Linked DNA regions of Danio rerio. The protein of the gene in region 1 interacts with the protein of each later gene in a biochemical or structural test. Links are inferred from orthologs where the notes say so. Each region holds a gene or a part of one and is shown on either strand. Other genes may lie near its edges.

The links.
Region 2: of the proteins of wnk1a (region 1) and klhl3, one has a biochemical effect on the other in vitro, tested with the Homo sapiens proteins (2 studies listed by BioGRID). The link is inferred for Danio rerio from reciprocal best matches to the Homo sapiens genes WNK1 and KLHL3.

Annotation. Positions count from the first base shown.
Region 1 is NC_133200.1:22,390,603-22,401,320, reverse strand, and holds the start of wnk1a (serine/threonine-protein kinase WNK1), read left to right. Parts: upstream 1-915; 5' UTR 916-1,628; intron 1,629-3,020; 5' UTR 3,021-3,472; coding exon 3,473-4,174; intron 4,175-10,718. UniProt on the Homo sapiens protein: Serine/threonine-protein kinase component of the WNK1-SPAK/OSR1 kinase cascade, which acts as a key regulator of blood pressure and regulatory volume increase by promoting ion influx.
Region 2 is NC_133189.1:28,554,932-28,565,649, reverse strand, and holds part of klhl3 (kelch-like protein 3), read right to left. Parts: 5' UTR 10,490-10,718; coding exon 10,476-10,489; intron 9,944-10,475; coding exon 9,821-9,943; intron 8,377-9,820; coding exon 8,270-8,376; intron 6,208-8,269; coding exon 6,086-6,207; intron 3,388-6,085; coding exon 3,225-3,387; intron 3,093-3,224; coding exon 2,983-3,092; intron 2,573-2,982; coding exon 2,456-2,572; intron 2,383-2,455; coding exon 2,233-2,382; intron 960-2,232; exon of another isoform or gene 758-959; intron 1-757. UniProt on the Homo sapiens protein: Substrate-specific adapter of a BCR (BTB-CUL3-RBX1) E3 ubiquitin ligase complex that acts as a regulator of ion transport in the distal nephron.

The sequences.
Region 1 (10,718 bases):
GAAAAAGAATTAACATTGTGTATAACTCCAATGAGCTTGGACTTTTAACTTGTTAATAAAGTTAACTGAATTGGCAAAGAAAGCCTCCTCCATCTTTGCCCAGACATGCTCAATAATGTTAATGTCTGGTGACTGGGCTGGCCAATCCTGGAGCACCCTGACTTTCTTTGCTTTCAGAAACTTTGATGTGGAGGCTTAAGTATGAAGAGCACTATCCTGCTGAAGAATTTGCCCAATGTAAAGAACAGCACAAGGATCTTGAGATCTTGATACCTCAGGCTGTTGTTGATGTTGCCATCCTCTCTGCATATCTTGAATGCCCCCATTCTGAATGCACCTCCAAACCATGATTTTTCCTTCACCAAACTTGACTGATTTAACGAGAATCTTGGGTCCATGCGGGTTCCAATAGGTCTTCTGCGGTATTTGTGTGATTAGGATGCGGTTCAACAGATGATTCATTTGAAAGATCTGTCATTTTTTCCAAATAATCAACAAGAAGTCAAGTTATTATTTGTTGCTCTTACAACTGAGATCGACGACAAGACTTTTTGTCAGGCAGTGTAGTATTGTTAAAGGAATAGTTCATTTATTCATTTTTTTTTCGGCTAAGTCCATTTATTAATCAGGGGTCGCAACAGCAGTTTCATAGGAAACTCAAAAGCTTTAAATATTAATTAAAGCCAATTATCTACGGATAAAAATAACAAAAACATTTATTATCTTCACATCAAGTCATATTTTATGCTAGACTGAATAGAATAGTCACGCAAGTTTAGTAAATGTTAACGAGTCATTTTGAGGGAACTGTTCCTTTAAAGACACCATTTTACACACGTTCACACTCTTCATGGTGCAGCAGGCGGCGCTGTTTTCTAACTCTACGACATTTATTTGGACAAAGACAAGAAGCCGGGGGGAGTGGACAGAGTCCGGGTTATTGTCGATCACGAAACCGGTTTGTTCATGTAAGCATACATTTATGCAATGGCGAAAATTTAGAGAATCGATGGCATGCAGATTCCGCGGTCTTGAGCCCTGCGCGTGCATATCGTCTAGATCAGCGCGGGATCTTTCGCTGTCAACAATAGAGGCGCAAAGCTCTCCTGAACGCGCAGCAGCCAAAGCCAAGTTTCATGTCGGCATAACATTAAATGGATATAACGTGTCTTATAGGGTTTTTGGTCATTCCTGTAGGTGTACATATTGCAGCGTCAACTTGAGGTGCAACGTTTGCACGCGCGCCGTCATGCAGTAGATGAGTGCACAAGGAAGATGAATCGAGGTCAGTTGAAAGAGAATAACAAAGAGAACCTGCTCTGCAGTCTCGCGAGCAACCATTAGCGGAAGCGGCTGCTGTTGTGTGTTTGACACTCGAACTTCGCAGTATCGCTCGAGACTGTTGGGACCGGAGGCACAGAAACCGACGTTTAGCCATTATGTTGGGTTTTTAGTGGATGAATATCTCGTCAATCGAGGGTATTTGAGTGGCTCACATGCTTCGCGCGAGGTAAACGTTATTTCAAATACGGAGCACGCGCGTTTGGGGAATTACCGGTTAAACCTGGAGTCAGCCGTTGGTTATTCGCCGATAACTGAAAAGAGTGACGACGACACTTTACATTATGGTAAGTTTTTGTCTTAAATGTCACGATAAACTGGTAAAACTAATCCAGTTTGTGTGTTCACATAAGTCAACCTATGTTTTAGATTATTTATTTGTAACGGCAGTTTTGATACATTTAAAAAAAGCTCTTAAAGGGACAGCTCATCTTAAAAATTTGAATATAAGTTTGGTTTTAATGTTCATTTGTTCAGCATTATGCTGTCTAACTTTAATTCCTTTCCCTATAACGTTATAAGTTTCGAATAATTAGCTTTTCCGGTGTTTTCCACAATTGTCTTTCAAGTTTAAAATGACAAAGTTACCATAAAGGTAACGTAAGTTTAGTCAACATGATTTTAGCGTAATTATTTTTTAGTCTTTTGATAACTTTAGGCAACTGACACTCTAAATAAAAGTTTGACATCCTAAAATCCCAACTAACATTATGGTTTAGGCATTAACGTTACTTGATGAAAAAAGTGTCTAGTGCATTATTCAGTATTTTACCCAATCAACAAGCATATAAATGTTACTTTAAAAAATGTTTACTTATTTTAGTTTATTTTATTCAACTTGTTTTTAATATAAAACGGTAGACAGTTTGTTGTACACATGGCGAATCTAATTTACTAATCCCTCAGCATATGTTCACTGTCCTGAAGATAGATACAGTGCACTCATTAAATTACGTCAAAGATATAAGCAAGCAAGCAAGCAACACATTGCTAGTTATATTCATGTCAAATGAGTTTTGTCAAACGTTAATGAACCATCTTGATGCGAAATGTGTTGACGAAAATTTACCCGAAGTGTAAAGTGATGAAAAAAAAATCAAAGTGTTACTTCCTGCTGTTTTTTTCTGAAGGTTTCAGTATGACAGGTCTATTTGTAAAGTAAAAAATAAATAAATCCTATCTTTTTAGTAGGTGAGAGAAAACTCTTTAATTATAGACTAGTTATTTATTTGCCCCTTTGCTAAACAGCCATTCCCTTATTATGGCCCTGAAATCAGTCTTGTTTTAACTTTCCTGGCTTCTCGATTTGTTAAATCTGTTTTATTTATTACATTAAGTTAGTGCTGTTGAATGATTAATCATGAATAATCACATCCAAAGTTTGTATTTTGTGTATATGTATTATGATATATAAACACACACACACACGTATGTATTTAAAAATAAAGATTTACATGTCATATATGCATGTATGATTTGAATTACTGTACATTTATTTGTATTAATAATCAAATTTTATTGTATAATAGTAATGTTTTACTGTCAAGTTGATTCAAAGGTTTATTTTGGGTTGTTGTGAAGACCATTAAATTTCTGTATGTACATAATATGGTGATCATTTTTCTCACTTTCTAATCTTCTAGCCATTTTTGTAAAACTATATTTTGTATCTTTTTCAGGGAATTGGACGCAAGGGTTAAACTTTTTTCCCCAGCACGACCTTGGGGTCGAAAGTGACCACTACTTTTATCAGCTTTTATTACTTTTACTACCCTGCCCCCTCAGGAGACCCCCTATGTTGATTGAATACACCCCACATTTTTTCAAAGGATGGATGAGCTGAAGTCTCCTTTTAATCACCACAATCATCATCATCATCATCAAAGTATTTTGAACTGTGCATGGATCCTGCGCTACTTTTATCACCAGGGACTTCCTGTGCTTCTCTCCAACACTTTATTTTGCAAAAGTATTGACTTTATCTGAACTGCTGTTTCGAGAGGAGGAAGGATTATCAAGTTTCCACTTGGTTTAAAGCGGCCTCTTCTTGATATCAGATATTTATACTGCCACTTTTTTGCATGGATAGCATATAAGGTTCAACTAACTTCACGCTCCACTTGGTGGAGAAATGTCAGAAAATCTCAACGACAAGATGGTCAAGTTCCTTTCCCCCCCTTCGAAGAACACCAACGGCTCCAGCTCAGACACTCTGGTGGGTGAGCATCTAGGTGTCGATGTCCGTCGTCGCCACCACACCATGGATCGAGAACTGCTGAAGGCAGAGCACCGTTTCTTTCGCCGCAGCGTCATCAACGACTCCAATGCTACAGCGCTTGAGCTGCCCAGCAAGAATGCAATCCTAACCCACTCCACTGACTCCCATGCCCCTGTCTGTGAACCTCCTGCCCTAGAAACCAAAGCCGCTTCAGTGATCACACAATCTGCACCAGAAAAAAAAGTGGCTGATGTTGTTGAGATGGTTATTGAGTCAACACCAGTGTTGATTACAAACGCTGCACTGCATCTTTCTGCAGAAGCACCTAGTTTGGTTTCAGAGGTGAAGTCTGGAGATAGCATTGATGGAAAACGAGAGGTTGAGAAAGAGGAGGATGAAGATAGTAAAGAAAAGGCGGCACGTGCTGAGGCTGAGTTGCGGGATGCTAAGAAGGAGGAGGAAGACAATGAGGAAATTGAGACTAACGCTGTTGGGACATCACCGGATGGCCGCTTCTTGAAGTTTGACATCGAGATAGGACGTGGCTCTTTTAAGACGGTCTACAAGGGACTGGATACGGAAACTACAGTGGAGGTTGCATGGTGTGAGTTACAGGTACGTGTATTTGTAAAGTTATATTAATTTATTTTTCTTTGTTAGAATGCGTTATTGAAACCAACATTTTGAAATGTCGAAAATATGATAAATACCTGAGAGCTCCCTCATCCTCCATAAACAGCAACGGTCGCGATCTCAAATGCCAAGAAAACCAAAAATATTGTCCAACAAAAAAAATTGTCACTTCAGTGGTTTAGTTGTTATTCAGTGGTTTAGAACAAACAGATCAACCACTTTTGATGCTAATAAACAATCATAAAGTCCTCATGCTGCAGGAATTAGGAGTTTTGCTGAAGGTGCAGTTGTTGTGCAGTGTGGGGTTTGCGTCTTTAATAAACTACGATAGTTTGCGTTCACTGAACAGTAAGAATGATTAATAAATCCGTATCAATCAGTCCCTTAAAACTCACGTCTCCAAGTGAACCGCGCTCTTGCACACCTCTTCCAACCGGGCCAAGGCCAGTCAAGTGAACCGTGCCTGAGTCCGATTCAGAGCACTCACACTTTTCAAACAATTCGGAAAACGAGCCTGGGCACGGTTCGGATAGCATAGTGTGAGTAGGCCCTTACATATCAGATCATTAAGGCACTTGTAGTTTTGACAATGGTTCTTTTCTGGACTTCGAATGTCTTGGGATCATTGCTGGCTATGCTGAATAAGAGCTGTCTGGTTTAAAATATCTTAATGTGTTTTCTGAAATTGAACAAAAGTCTCAAGAGATTGGAATAACACGATAGTGAGTTATTAATAACATATATAGTTTAAATTCTGTCTATAAAGATTTATAGGTTGTCATCAAAAATTAGTTACCGCATGCATAAAATGAATGCATTTTTACATTTATGGATCCTGATTGTTGCAATCTGTGGGCAGCACGTCACAGTTTTTGACAGCTAGGATAACAAAGTGCAACACTTGACGTTGTTAACACTCTTGATCTATCCGCTGACGGTGGTAAATCACTATCTGATCTGTTCATCTGGTTCTACAGCAAATACGGTCTCATTCTCATGAACTTACAACCCTGTCTTAAGGTGTTTCCGGTACAGCACCTGGTTATTACAGTCTTATGACTAAGTTTGATTTAAATTTTCAGCGCCCCACCTGGGCCTTTTAAAATGGTGTGTCATCCGCTTGTATTGTTCAGTCTTAATTTAGTTGTGTAATCTTTTTTAGAAGAAGGAAGACACTTTTACTAGTCCTTTTGTCACACCTTTGGCATTTCTCACCTATGAAACGTCTCAACACACACCCTTCACACTTAACCCATATGGCATTTGGCCAGTGTTTTTATAGCTGTTGTCATCTTTGGCTCTAGCCCTTGTATTGTAGTATCATCTCTAAATAGAACCCCCTCAATTCCTAATTAGGCTTTAGACCTCCGGGCAGGTATTTTAAGCTGTGTGATATACACACTAAAACATTGGTGGTGTTTATTTAAAGTTTATTTAAACTTTTAGATAGTCTTATAGCTGTCAAAGCTTGTTACTTTATCAAAGTAAAATATTCTTATAGCATATATTTTTTTATTATTATTTATTTCTCTCCCTTTTATTTATTTGCTACTTATATCTTATTTTGATTTTAAATTAGTAAAAAAAAACAATATAAATATTCATATTCGGGATGCTCCGATTAATCGGCCAGAGATCGTATTTGCCGATAATCACATTTAGTTACTCGATCAGTACTCGCCAATCTGGTCAATCTCATCAAACGTTTAAGTGTAAGCGATTGCAGGTGAGATCTCCACTTAGGGAGATCATACTTAGGAAAAATGTGCTTTATGCATTATAAAGCTTAAAGCATCAGAATCGGTACTCTGCATCGGCCGATCATCATGACAAGGAATTGGTACTTTGTTTCGGGTGCAAAACCCTGATCGGAGCATCCCTGATTAGGCATGGGCCGGTATAAGATTCTGACAGTATGATAGCCTGGGATATCACAGTTTCATGGTATTGTGATTACTGCTCTAAAATATACTCTTTTTAAATGTCAGAACAAAAACTTTTTTCCTCCTTTAACACAATTTATTTTAAGAAACATATCAACTATTTTGGAGCAGTAAACATGTCAGGCTAAATCATTCAAATCAGTCATTGACTTCTGCAGTCTTCATTAGTTTCAAAAACACCTATTTCTTCACAATTTAAAACAACATCTTTGGATATTTTTTTCTTCTGGAGATACTGTTGTCCTAAAAAACAAAAGTAAAAAAGGTAAATAAAAAAATCTTACACATACCTTATGAATGGTATAGCAGATCATTTTGGCGGTTTTCAAACCTTGACTTTTCCTCACCGCAGTATATCTATCTATCTATCCATCTATCCATCTATCCATCCATCCATCCATCCATCCATCCATCCATCCATCCATCCATCCATCCACATAACACGATTGTGAGTTATTAATAAGATATTTAGTTGAAACAACAATTTAATGCAAATTGATTGCTTCACAATGGCTGGCTATATATATATATATATATATATATATATATATGCAAGTATGTGTGTGTGTGTGTGTGTGTGTGTATACATATATACATATATATATATATATATATATATATATATATATATATATATATATATATATATATATATATATATATATATAATTTATAATTACATTTGTTTTGTATTGTATATCTATTTTTAAACTGTAGTTTATTTCTTGTGACAATTCAATTATTACTTGTGACATTCTTAGTTAAAGTATATTGGTAACACTGAGTGTTTTGTTTGTTAGTTAGCTACATTAGTTAATGAGAAAAATACTTTTCATGCACTTATTAATCATACTTGATGTGAACAATAACAATTACAACTTTATACTTTTAAAAATGTATGACAAAATTATTTATTAGAGCTGAGCTGTGTTTATTAACTAATGCTCAAAATATTTTTACATTCTTATTTACAGTCTACAATCATTTAATTGTTCTCTAATTAATAGATTTATTCCAAATGAATTGTAATGGGTGACAAACCGTGAGAAACATGAGCTTTTATACTGCACACTAGAATAATTACACAGTGAATACATCCCTGCAATCTTTTGACTTTTATTAGTTTATGATATGATAAAAGCATGACTAATCTCCACGAGGTTTGCTTAGCAACAGCACCTCCATCGGAAAATCACCAGCTCACTTCTAACAAGCCTTCATGCATTCAGAGGCAACCTCGGTTTTGTTTTTATCATGAAGAAGCAGTTTTGAGAACATATCGAGAGGTGTGATTTGAAAAGTGGGTCAAGTTCAACCACCAAAGCAATGGTAATCTCCTGTGTGAAGTATTTCGAGCTGGTTTGCCACGGCTTGACTCTACAGCTTCTCTCCACCCCCTGCTGCCTATTTTTTTCGCTTCTTTTTTTTTTTTTTTTGTGCAGAGCGATGACGAAGCAGCACCACGTGAGCTGCAATTCTCTTGCTTTGGGCCCTCAGGCGTAGCCAGCTCATACATAGTTGAAACAAAGGCCTCTCTCTCTCTTTAGCTTTCAGTCTCCATTTATATCCTTTTTTCGCATTTCACTGTCCTTGTTTTTATCTCTCAGCTTGTCTTTTTGTGATATGCTGCTATGCGTTCCAAGCTGTGAGTTCACAGTGCTGCAGAAAAAAGGGAAGGGCCTGTATATCTTCCCCGAGAAGGCCATCTGTCCTCGGCGCCTTATGTTAAACTCAGGGATATTCCCCTCCCACATTTGTCTCCTTTTCTTTTTTCACATGCTAAACACATTTGAACAATATGTAGGTCACCACAAATAGAAAAGGAAAATAGCTCTCAGATGCTTCTTTTTTACTGAAGTTTCTGTATATGTCCAAGTGAATATACCACATTAAATGCTATGTCTAAACTAGCCAGAGAATTGAGTCATGGTTGCGATTGCATACCACTGACTTTCCAGCAACTGTTAAGTTTTACCCCAGTTGTCCTGCATTTGGCTTTCGCCCTGCTTTTGATCCCTTTAACAGACCCGTGTAAATCCATTTAGCCTTCTGTTCTAACTTTGAACTATTAAAAGGTTTCTATGGCCCTTTGACAGCATTTATAATGGCTACTTTTTGTTTTAATGTGCTGAATATTTTGTTTAAAAATCTATTAAAGTAATACTATATATTATAGGGATGCTCTGATCAGCATTTTTGCAGCCAATACCAAGTAACGATTCCTTATCATGCTGATCAGCCGATACAGAGTACCAAGAGTACTAATGCTTCAAGCTTTAAAATGCATAAAGCACATTTTCCTCTAAATATACTTGAGTGGAAATGTCTCCTTACCTAAGAGAATAAATAAAGGATCTTGCAAATAATCCTGATTTTAAACATTTTACTTATAACCATTTAGTGTGGACATGTCATATGCAGAAATTAATAGATAAAACTGATTAAAAAATAGTATAAAAATGACTAATAATGCAATTTAAGAAACACTGTAAATGATGGAAGAATTCAACATGTCTCAATCACGAAAAGGTTTAGAGCCCATATTTGATGCATAAGAAGTTAAAATGCACACCTATAAATACATATTTGTTTATTGCGACAAGTACATTACAAAAAGGCATATTATTAAATATTCAAGTTAAAAAAGTTTTTTTTTCCCATTAAAAATCGATTCATGAGATAAGCCAGATTTGCAAGTACTGTTTGAGTCAAAAAATGTAATCAGCAGATACCGATCTCCGGCCAATCGATCAGAGCATCTCTACATGTGATCTCATATCCTGTTTATAGATCACAATACAGTGCCATTTCAGTGATTTAACCAAATAATAGTTTATACATTTTATATATATATATATATATATATATATATATATATATATATATATACATATACATATACATATATATATACACACACACACACACACACACACAAACACACACATATATATATATATTTATATATATATATATATATATATATATATATATATATATATATATTTATATTTATATTTATTTATATATATATATATATATATATATATATATATATATATATATATATATATACATATATATATATATACACACACACACACACACACACACACACATATATATATATATATACACACATACGCGCACACACAGTTGAAGTCAGAATTATTAGCCCTCCTGAATTATTAGACAGCTTGTTTATTTTCCCCCAATTTCTGTTTAATGGAGAGCAGATTTTTCCAACACATTTTCCAATCATAATAGTTTTAATAACTCATTTCTAATAATTGATTTATTTTATATTTGCCATGATGACAGTAAATAATATTTGACTAGGTATTTTTCAAGACACTTCTATACAGCTTAAAGTGACATTTAAAGGCTTAATTAGGTTAACTAGGCAAGTTAGGGTAATTTGGCAAGTTATTGTATAACGATGGTTTGTTCATGAGATTATTGAGAAAAAATTAAGTTTAAAGGGGCTAATAATTTTGTCCCTAAAATGGTTTAAAAAAAATTAAAAACAGCTTTTATTTTAGCCAAAATAAAACAAATATTACTTTTTCCAGGAGAAAAAATACTATCAGACATACTGTGAAAATTTCCTTTCTCTGTTAATCATTTGGAAAATATTTTAAAAAGAAGAAAAAAATTTGAAGGGGGCTAATAAAGTTTAAAGCTGTTCATGTTTCTGTTTGCATCCCCATAATGGCGTGTAATATTGTACTCGTATAAATTATGAAAATAAATTATTACCTCTAACAGTGTATTTTATGGCACCACAAAATAAACAATAGAGCATTATTTGAAAAGATAGACTTTTTATTTTGTCCATATGATGTATATTATCATATTGCATTGCCCTATTTACAGTCTCTTAAAGTTCTGGTTACTAAAAGTTAAAAAGCTCTTTTTTTATTTATAAATACAGTCATACATTTACAATGTATGTACTCTATTATTTAAAAGTTAGGGGGTCAGTAAGGGATTTGTCTAATTTATAAAGAATACACTAAATTGATCAAAAGTGGAATTTTGTTTGGAACAATGTAAAAGTCTTTACTATTGCAAATAAATGATGTTATTTATTTTTCATTTTTCAAATATTTAAGAAAGCACATAGATAGATTTTTAGCAAAAGTAAATTTTTTCGACCAGGATTTTTTGAGAGATTTTTTTTTCTTTTCTTTTTTTTTATTTCTGGCATCATTTATGATATATTTTATTAAAAACCTTTCTAATCTTTATTTGAAGCAATAATGAGATGAGTTTAAAGTAAAAATGTTTATTAAAATACTTTTTTGTCTGTTAGGTGTTTACTTTTGCTTAATTTTTAATTTTTATTTTTTGTAGTGTTTTAGATACCTCCTTAGAAATATCATTATAGTCATTTAATATAGGAAATAAGCACATGCAGCTCCTAATAGAATTGTTCACAAAGCATGTGATTCCAGGAATATCAATCCTTGTGCTGTTCCTTGTAATCATCAATTGCTACACACAATCCCAGCCAACTGAAATGCATAGTTTTTAAGTATTTCTTAATATTTCCAGGTAATTTCTTTCAAATCCTCTCCTTA
Region 2 (10,718 bases), on another chromosome or scaffold:
AATTCTAATCCAGCCAAATTCTCATTTCATTTCAATTGAATTCATCTTTATTTCTATGGCGCTTTTACAATGTAGATTGTGTCAAAGCAGCTTAACATAGATTATAATAGATTGAAGCTGTGTCAGTCCAGTTTTCAGAGTTGAACTTCAGTTTAATTCAGTTCAGTGTGGTTTCATTTTCACTGCTGATGTTCAAACACTGAAGAGCAAATCCATCAATGCGCAGCTCCACAAGTCCCAAACCAATCAAGCCAGTGGCACACACATCACACATTTAAAATCAGCTATGAAATCTACATTTTTCTTCATCTCAAACTCCATTAATATACATATTTATCCAATGTACCTCTCTTAAAGAATTATAAGTAAACTATCATATTAAATATGTGTCTAAGTGAAAGCGGTTTTCAGGCATCGAAACAATTGAAATAAGAAATTTATTTTTTCCACAGATTCCTGTTTTTGGAGCAAAAACTAAAGATTTCCAGAAGAAATATATGCAACAAAAGTTTATGAATCAAAAAAAACTGACAGGCATACACTAACTGACAAAAGTCTTGTCGTCAATCTCAGTTGTAAGAGCAGCAAATAATAACTTGACTTCTAGTTGATTATTTGGAAAAGTTGCATATGATCATCAAGGCATGAAATGATCATTAAGGCATGATCATATTTTATTTACAATAAGCTTAATTTAGAGGCCTTTGCTTTTTATATAAGCCACTTCTGATACCAAATGATCTTCGAGAGAAGTTATCAGGGCTCGAAATTAACCTTTTTGCTTGGTAGCACCGGTGCTCCTAACTTTAAAAATGTTGGCGCATCAGCCAATATTTAGTCGCACCCACCAATTATGAGCACCGTTACTACAAGTTTTATACAAAAATATTTATTGTATTTGAAATCAACACTAATCAAACTAACAAGCAAAAAAATCATGTATAACGTTATATGCAAGCGTGAGGAAAATATGTCTCAACAAAATCCCGTTATCACAAGAAAATAAATTTTTATAACAGAACTGAGTGACCAAAGCATACACTGAGCGCTCACCTGCCCTGCACGCACTGCTTGAATTAATCTGTTAACCGTATAACTGTGCTGTTCTCACAAGTGCTGTCGGATATTGCACTGATGCTTTTGACATATACTGTACCCTATTATATGCATACATGTTAATAGCAATACCGGTCTTTTTAGGAGTAGCAATGTTAGTTTACTCAGTGTAAGCCCGTTTGCTATGGTGTACGTGGTGTTAAATTTGACATATAGCTGCCACGTGCACAGCGCACAGCATCTGGTGATTATATGAAGGATTAAACAGAAGCTCTCGTGCTAGATGTGCCAAACAGTTACCTGAAAATTCCATCCCACAGAATTTTCATAGCGGACTTGAAGCCAATAGAAGTCTTCTACTCTTAGAAAAGTGTAGATGGTGGATTAACATTCAGCACATGATCACTAGTAAGATGTGTCATTATTTGTAACTGTAGATGCCATGGTTTCTCAAATAAAATCTGTCAGTGTTATGCTATCTTCATTCTCATCTTCAGCGCTTTACAATTTTTCGCGGTAGTAGCTCTCTGTCATCCAAAGCCAGAAGGCGCTGAGTGATTGACAGCTTATATTAACCAATCATTCGCGTTCAGTGCTAGAGCAGTGGTGGGCCAATAAGAAGAGTGCGAAGGCGGGGCAAGCATTACGGACTTGGATTTGTTTACTGCAGCAAGTTGACATGACAACTGTTTTAAACCATTCCTGAGAACTGCGTTTCGCGTTTCAAGTGTAAACAAAGAGCTTAGAGATGCATTCTGCGTGAATGTCTCCCGAATCCGCGAAAGTGGTGAACATTTTGCAGTAAAAACTGGTCGCACACAACAATTTTAAGCACTCGCAAAAATGCTCCCAAATATATTTTAAGGTCGCACAGATAAAATTTCGGGCGCATATGCGACCAAAATGGTTGCAATTTCGAGCCCTGAGTTATTATTTGTTGTTCCTAAAATTGGATAGGTGACAAGACTTTTGTCAGGTAGCGTATTTAAAACAAGGATAGGTTGATGTACAGCTCTGAATATAGCAATCATCTGTTACGTTACATATCTTTACACTTAGTCACTCTCCTTTTTAAACGATTAAATTAAACCAATAAATTACTTTTTCAGCAAGAGCTTTTCATCGTTAAAAATAAAATCAGTTATTATTAGATTTTTGTGCTCAGTATATTATTACCTTGGGCAGGCTGATTGGTGTGCGTGGTCTTGTTCTGTCAGTCTTTATAAGGTGCCGCTGGTCTGCAGGTAAAAGGTGGTACTTCATCGCCTCAATGAGAAAGTCCTTACAAGTATTGTTGTTTTTTATTAAAGGTTCCTCCTCCACAATCTGTACAAATGCACAATCATGTACTAAAAATAATGCTTGAAGAAATTATGCACGAATAATGCTTGGATCATACCTGAACCAAGTAATCTCTGGACAGTAAGGGAAGTCGAACATGCTCCATGAGTTTTGGCATGTGCTCTAAACGGGCCTCTTTATCGTGCTTTATCCAGGCAACCATGGCCTCAAAAACCTGGCGGTGGAACAGATATTATGTTTTTCTCTGCATAATGTATGAGTGCAGCCCACAGCCACAGCAGGTCAGGCTGCCACCCTCCTCTGTCTGTGCCACTGCTCAGATGACACTGAAACATCTGACAGCTGCCATCAAGTGTGTGTATGTGTGTGCGTGTGCAGACTGGAGACACAAGTTACTCGTAAGCAGAGAGCAGCTAATGCAGTGTGACTGACAGATGGCTTGTCATCTCCTTCAGCACTGCACCAGCATGTACATGTAAAACCCAACTATCAATCGTTTGCTGAGTACAAATCGTGCAAGAATATGTTAAAAAAAACTGTCTGTGATTGAGAAGCACAATATGCAGATGTAAATGTATTAAAAGATAACATCTGAGTCAAAACACTTGGGTTTTTGTGTGTTACCTTCTCTTCAGTTGACACAGTCAGTTTGTCACTAGAGATCAGACTGCACACCTGCTGTAAGGACAGGGCCATAAACTCCTCGCCAACCATGACGTCTGTGAAGTGCTGCTCTGCTTTAATCAAGCAAAACATACTCAAAAAAACTAAACTGTACGTCAACATAAAAAGACATATCGGTGGGTTGCTTAATCGCCAAGCTGTTCCAAACTTCCCACAATGCATGAAAAAAGATGAGAGCTCACCGGCATAAGCGTGGGCCTGGCTGAGAAGTACTGTGCAGGCGTGAAGGTCAGCGAATGCTCGGATGCCCAAGCAGTTGGTGGGATGAAGCTGTGTCTGCAGGAAGTCACAGCAAACCTGTCGAACATCCATCAACTGCAGCAGACTGGCAGCTGGCAGCAACACCTGAACACAGCAGGGATAAACACATCACAAATACTAAACTATAAAAAAAGACATCACACATACTATACATTGGTATAATGTGTGTACATTCATATACATTCAGTTTTTAAATTAATTTCAGAAATATTATTGACTTATATAAAATGTTCATTTGATTTATTTAAAATACAGTATATGGTCTTTTGGTAGATATATTAATATATTATATGAGAGACCTGCTTTGTTTACCAAATAAGTGGATCTAATTGGATTTGCATTGTAAAATTAAATAAAAGTTAAAAAGCTATACTTTTTTATTTCATCATATATTACGTTTTTACTTATTATGATAATATGAGCTCCCAAAATAATTCCGCATAAATCTGCAGATTTTTTACAAAATCTCCATGGAAATTGCCAAAAATGTCCGCAAATACCATGTGGCCCTACTGATAACACAATAAGTTATGAAATGATGACTAGCCTTAAATGCAAAAGAGTTGTGCGTTACATTGATGCACAGACATACAGAACTGAAATCATTTCTGAAATAAGTATTTTATCCTCAAGAAGACTGCATTAAATTGGTAAATAAATATGTTGTGATATTACTATCATTTTAAAAAATATATCAGTTTAATTTCAAATAATTGTTTTAAAATGTTTTTTTTTTCTGTGATCCAAAGCTGATGTTTCAGCAGATATTACTCCAGTTTTCACAGCAGAACATAACATGATCTTCAGAAGTAATTTTATGATAGTTAATTACTGACTATTTTTATATTATCTAGTAGGGCTGCACAATATATTGTTTGAGTTTAGATATTGCAATATGTGCATCTGCAATAGTCACGTAGCAACATTTGCAATGTTGAGTTGGGATTACAGTTGACAACAAAAAAAAAAAAACACAGGAGATTAATGGAGACACTGTAGAATTTAACACTAATAATAGAGTGAAGGTTTATCATCTGCATATGTTTTTAAGGCCAGTGACTATGTGAGCATTTTTAATGAGTTTAAAGCATTTTAGTAGTGCATAAAAGTTTTATTATTTATATGATGAAGACTATGTAGAAATTTTTTACATTTGATTGTTTAATTTTTGAACGTGTATACTGTTACTCTCTCCAGAATGCTTGGTTTATTTCACTTTAATATGTGTTCTATCGTGTTTATGACTGTAGTTTGTTTATTATACATATATAATAAATTGCATAAATATATACATTTATATTTCACTCCCCAACAAAATCACCTCATGCTGTAAAACAATACAGTAGTGCACACAATACATTCATGTGGTCTCAAGGCAAATCGATTAAGTTTACTTAACAAATTCAAATTAATTTGACATAAAACAAATATAATCTCAAGAATTGTGTTGTTTTAGCCCATTAAAAAAGTTTATTTGAAGAAGCAGCAAAATAATTCTTTTGAGTGCAGTCAATCTTAAGTAATGACTTTGCAAATAGAGCTAATTGTAAATATAAAAAAATTAAAAAATATAAAATATTTATAATTTTTGCTTGTTCAACATACTTATTTAAAATAAGCTGAAACAAAACAATTCTTGAGATTTCATTGGAACAACTTGAATTTTTTATGTTTAATCTACATAAATTTGCTAAAAGTGCTAGGTTAACTTAATCGATTTGTGGTGAATGACTTGTGTGGAATCCTGCATTTTTACAGTGTATATTGCAGGGAAAAAAACACTTTCAAATTTCAAATTTTCCCATTATCGTGCAGCCCTGTTATCTACGTGTAACCAGTTCATCATTTTTGCCAAAACTGTTTTTAAAAGAACAGCATTTATATGACATTAAAATTTGAAATTGAATTTGATTCATTTAATTCATCTTCAACCTAATCTAAGTACACATTTATTTATTTTTAATAAAACAAAACAAACTTCTCAGAATTTCCCAGGCTTTGCATGGTAAGGTCTATATTAATATAGACAGAAATACCAATGGCTATTATTGTAATTACAATAATACACATAACATCAGTTATACTTCAAGTAAACGGTTAATAAATACATTTTAGTTATTAGCAAACCATTACACATGTGTTTCAAACCTAGTGCCAACTGATATACTAAATGAACTGTGATAATAATTAGAGGTATCAATGAAATGAAGGCAGCAGCAGCTACTTAACATACAAGTAAAGGCCACAGGGAAAAACGACACTAAATTAGATAAAAGCATCTGCTCTTGACCATCTTGTGTTGCCTGTGTCCATGTTCTTTCTAGTAAAAGAAAGAAAATGGCCTAAAGGGATATACAACACAGGGCGTATCACAGCACTGAATGACATAGTAAAAATCCCCAATGACCAACTAAGTCATAAACAGCCACTACCCCCCACTGAAGCATCTGCCCATGCTCTCCAGATGAAAACTAGGCCACTTCATGCTATTCTTGAACAAATGGCACGAAGCTTCTAAGATCATCTGTTCTCTTCTTCTACACAAAATAAGGCCCACACGCAAGCAACAGAGCACACAGGGACAATAGAGCTCCAACACAAAGGGCAAAGAGCAAATCGCAGAAAACTTCCTCTGCCTCTCTGCTCATTTCCTTTGCTAAAAATGAGAGGAAATACCCTTCACGAAAGCTCCAAAAGCAAAAAGTGCAATCAGCTTTTATACAAACAGCTAGTCACTTTTAATGTTTGAAACATTACAATGTATATGTTAGTGTTGTCTTACCTGAACGTTTTCTTCAGACACTTCTATCTCAGCAGAGTAAATATAATCCACCAGCTTCAAGAGCGTCTGTCCGTCAACATCCCTGATTTCGACATGATTAGCTTTGCTTTCACTCATGTCACCTGGATACAATAAACACAATGCAGAATTAGGCTTTGTTTACAACTGGTATTAAGATGCACACTGATACAGATTTCTTTGAAGAAAAGGCCTGTGATCAGGTTACAATTGTAGTCAAATGTATTATTCCTCCTGGGAAGATTTATTATTTTTTATATTTATCAAGTAATATTTCACATTTTTTTCCAACACATTTTAAAACTTTCTCATTTTACATGATTTCTGCAGGTTTCACCAAGTTAGATTTAAACTATTTTAAGACCATTATGAATTAAACTTAAGACTTATGCAGGGCTAAATGCTAAGTTTTTTTAAATTTCCCAGTTAGAAAAGATTTTTACTTGGCCAATCAAAAAATAATTACAAATTAATACATTTAATAATACAATAATTATACATTTGTAGAATATTTTTTATTCATTTTCAAATATATCCATTCACAAACCCTATATCCCGTACCAACAATAGAATAAAACATTAATATTACATTATTAATATAACATTAATAATAATTTAATAATAAAAACTATAGGTCAGCTCAGTATCCTCAGTAAAAAAAGTAGAACTTTTAAGCAAATGTTACTGTAGGAAAAGTAAAGAAATGCTATTTTTAAATAAAAAGTTAAACGTTTTATTGAGATGGATTGTTGGTCATTGTATGAGTGTTAATGGCCAACTGTTTCTTTTGTTTTTGCCATGATAATAGTGCATAATATTTTTCTAGTTATTTTGCAAGATACAAGTATTCTGCTCTACCAAATGGTTGACCATATTTCTACTGTTCTACTGTTTTAAATAAAGACTGTTAAAGTATTTTAAAGAATGTTGTAAAAAAACAAACAAACAAGAAAACATGTTAAATAAGAATCTGAAATATTTTATTGCATACTTCAAAAAATATAGATGATTCAAAAATGTTTTATTTTGATTAGGTTTGTAATAAATTGGTCTTACACCCAATTTTCTGATTTTGTATTATAAACCGACATATTTACTATTTGGTGGAGGTTGATATTTTAGAAATTATGTGATGTGTTGAAAAAAAAATGCATTGAATGTGTTAACTAGCAACATTAGGAGTTAAGAAATCCAATCCAAAAATGTATTTCTTGGTGGGGCAGTTAATTAAAGTGCAATATAAAGATTTAATTAGGTAACTTAGTTTACTAGGTAAGTTATTGAACAACGGTGGTTTAGTGACATTATCACAGGAGTGCTAATCATTTTGTCTTCGACTGTGTGTATAATTTTTTCAGAAATTTCTGGAACTGTGAAATTTGTATACAAATAATGTTAAAATAGGCAAAAAAAAAAAAAGATGTGGACAGCAGGAGCTTGTCGTTAATGCTCTATTAACCACAAAAATTCATCAAACTACTTCAACCGAACACTGTGCTTATTTTATTTTTTCACTTTCAAACCAAATGTACGATTTCAGACAGCAAAAATTTAAATCCCATCTTGTTATCCCACTTCAACATGGTGTCCCATAATGATTATTAGGCCAGTTGGCAGTGAACAGGTGGCCTTTTTCTGGCTGTTGAACCACTCGACCACATGAACATCTCATTACAAAAGCAATCTGGTCAAAAGCGTTTTCGACTACCTCTGGAAAAGGACCAGAATAGCCAGTTCAAAACATTTCAGATCCCTGATATTGAGCCTTATCCACTTGTGATTGAGACAAAAACAACAAAAAACATCTTATTACCATGTACACAGTTAAAAATGAGACCTAAATGTAAAGAAATGTACATCATAACATTTTTATGCAATCAACATGACTCATGAAGTAGTTTGCTAACAATTCAATCCATCTATAAAACGATAGTTCACCTACAAGTGAAGGTTTTATCATGATTTATTCCCTCTCATATTCCTCCAATCCTGTATGACTTTAGGTTTTATATAGCATATAAAAGAAGATCATTAAAAAGAGCAAATCGTGTTTGACACAAAATGAGACATAAATCCCCAATAGCAATTTTGAAGATAATTAAAGGGCAGTGTTGGACATGTCTCATCACTGTAAGAGTAGCATTAGAACATGTAAATAAAGAATACCTGTGAACATGGCGCAGAAGTAAGGGCTGCAGGATGCTAAAACTACTCTGTGTGCTGGGATTTCCACTTCGCCTGCCACCAACAAAACATCACAGAGCATCTTCCGACTGTGGTTATAAAGAAATGAAAGAAAATTTAGGGGTTAGATCAAGACTGCTTTTTTCCAAAAGTAATAAAAACCTACTTAGATTTTATAAACCATTGGCGGCAGTGGTTTCCGTGATCTTACATAGAATTGAGGTAATATAAACCAGAAATACCTTGTGGACAAGCAGCCTACACCAACACAACTTATAATTAACTTCAAGTCAAGTCAGATTTATTGCATTGTTCTAAACCTAAAGAATTATTACCAAAAATACATTATAAGCCAATATGTTCATGACATAGCAGACTAGGGTTGGGCGATTTGGCTTAAAATCAAAATCTCAATTAACTGAACATTTTACCCTGATTACGATTTATGAACGATTATTTTATTTATTTAAATTTTTTAACTCTTTGCATATTAATTGTGTTCTTATATTTATTTGAATAAAGGGTGCATTACTTGACTTTAAAATAATTGAGGGAAACACAAACTATCTACTATCTATGATCATTTATTGAACGTCATAAAAGGGGTCTCAAGGCATCTCTGGCGCAGCCTCCAATCATCATCAATGTAGTGCAAAAGTGCAACGTGTAGTTACGTATTTTGAGAGGTGCGCAGGTATGCGAGCTCGTGAAGGCTGCGCCGGACCATGCCCGTGCGTTCGATGCAAAAGTATAAATCTGTCTTAACAGAGCGAGATCACATGACTCCACACACAGCAGGGAAAGTAATTGAAAAAAATTGACCTGGAAAATTTTGATCGATTATAGGTTCTGAATGTGATTACTTTTTAAATAATCGCTCAGCCCAATAGCAGACCTCACCAATCTTAAAGTTTACATTTTGCAACTACAATGAAGCAGTTGAGATAGGCTACATAATACATACTGCCCTACATGACTATACTGTACGCATGCAAATAAAGTTGAACAAACATATAATTTTGTCCCATTTTGGTGTAAATATATGACAATCTATGGGTTTTACATGTATGTACAATGAAAAGATGCATTTAAGAAAAACTACACTTACTAAAATGACAAGGGATTCCCCCACATTCCAAAGACATGCAGTATAGGTGAATTGGATAAATGAAATTAGCAGTAGTGTGTGAATGAGAATGCATGAGTGCCAGATTAATTAATGGTTCATTCCACTGTGGTGACCCTGATAAATCAGAGACTACACTGAAGGATAGTGAGTGAGTGTTGCATGAATAAATATGGATATTATGGTATATAAACTATTGATGCACTGAACGTATTGGGTCTTAACAATTACATTTGATAGGAAAATAAAACTTCACATCAACCAGAACATTTTTGTGAAGGATCAAATTGAATATGGTACAAATCCACTCCAAGGCAGCTAACCTGGAAATGCCCCTATCGATGTCTGCCTCCCTGAACACCATGAAAAACAAAGGGTTGAATAACAAGTTATATCACTTTACTAACCTTCTCAAGTCATTCATGAGCAGAAAGGCTTTCCTCATGTGTGTGTGACTGAAGGTGTGCAGCCCTGGATCTTTGGCATCGTCCTGAGAGTCCAAACTAGGCACAGGACAAGGGACTCCAAATCTAGTCAACGAATCAAAACAGACCTAATCAACTAATGCTAAATAGCATAATGTTACACCAATTAAACAACAACAAAAAACGAATCTCTCGATCTAAGGACCACCTAAATTAACGTTTAATAGTTTCCAATGACAACTTCATTGCACAGTTGTTCAACAACAATGTTATTACGGGATGACAAGAGTCAGTTTTAGACCACATCACTGCATATGGAATCAAGTTACTGAACGATTATGATAATATTTTGATTATCTCGTGAACTATGGACAAGCTAGTCTAGAACAGTATCATTTCACGTTACATAGACGAATTTGTATAAAAACCCTTAAATATTAAGTGTCATTTTAAAATGAATTCCCAGGAGTGGATACACAACCCTCCGCTAGCAATTTAGCTGCTACAAATTGTACTACAGGATCACAAGGCGTTATTCTGTTAGTTTCAAATTAGAATTTAATATATTACTTTCTCTTCTGCAGACATATTTGTTACAAGTTATCTGCATTTCTCTTTTTTATAATCACACACTTACCCGTCATAGTCCATGTTTGAGCAATATCGCGCTAGGCAGCTGGCTAAAGTTAGCTTGCTACATCATTTTTCCGTGTAGGATGTGTAACTCATTCATTCCCTTTATAGACGTGCGTGGTATTTTAAAGCTTTAAGTCGAGTAATGTATGTCTTCATAAGTATTCCTCGTGCTGAGCCTTGTCTCTCGTGAGATGGCCGCGGTTGTTTATCTGACTGGTTAGCAGCTCATAGCTATCGCTGCCTC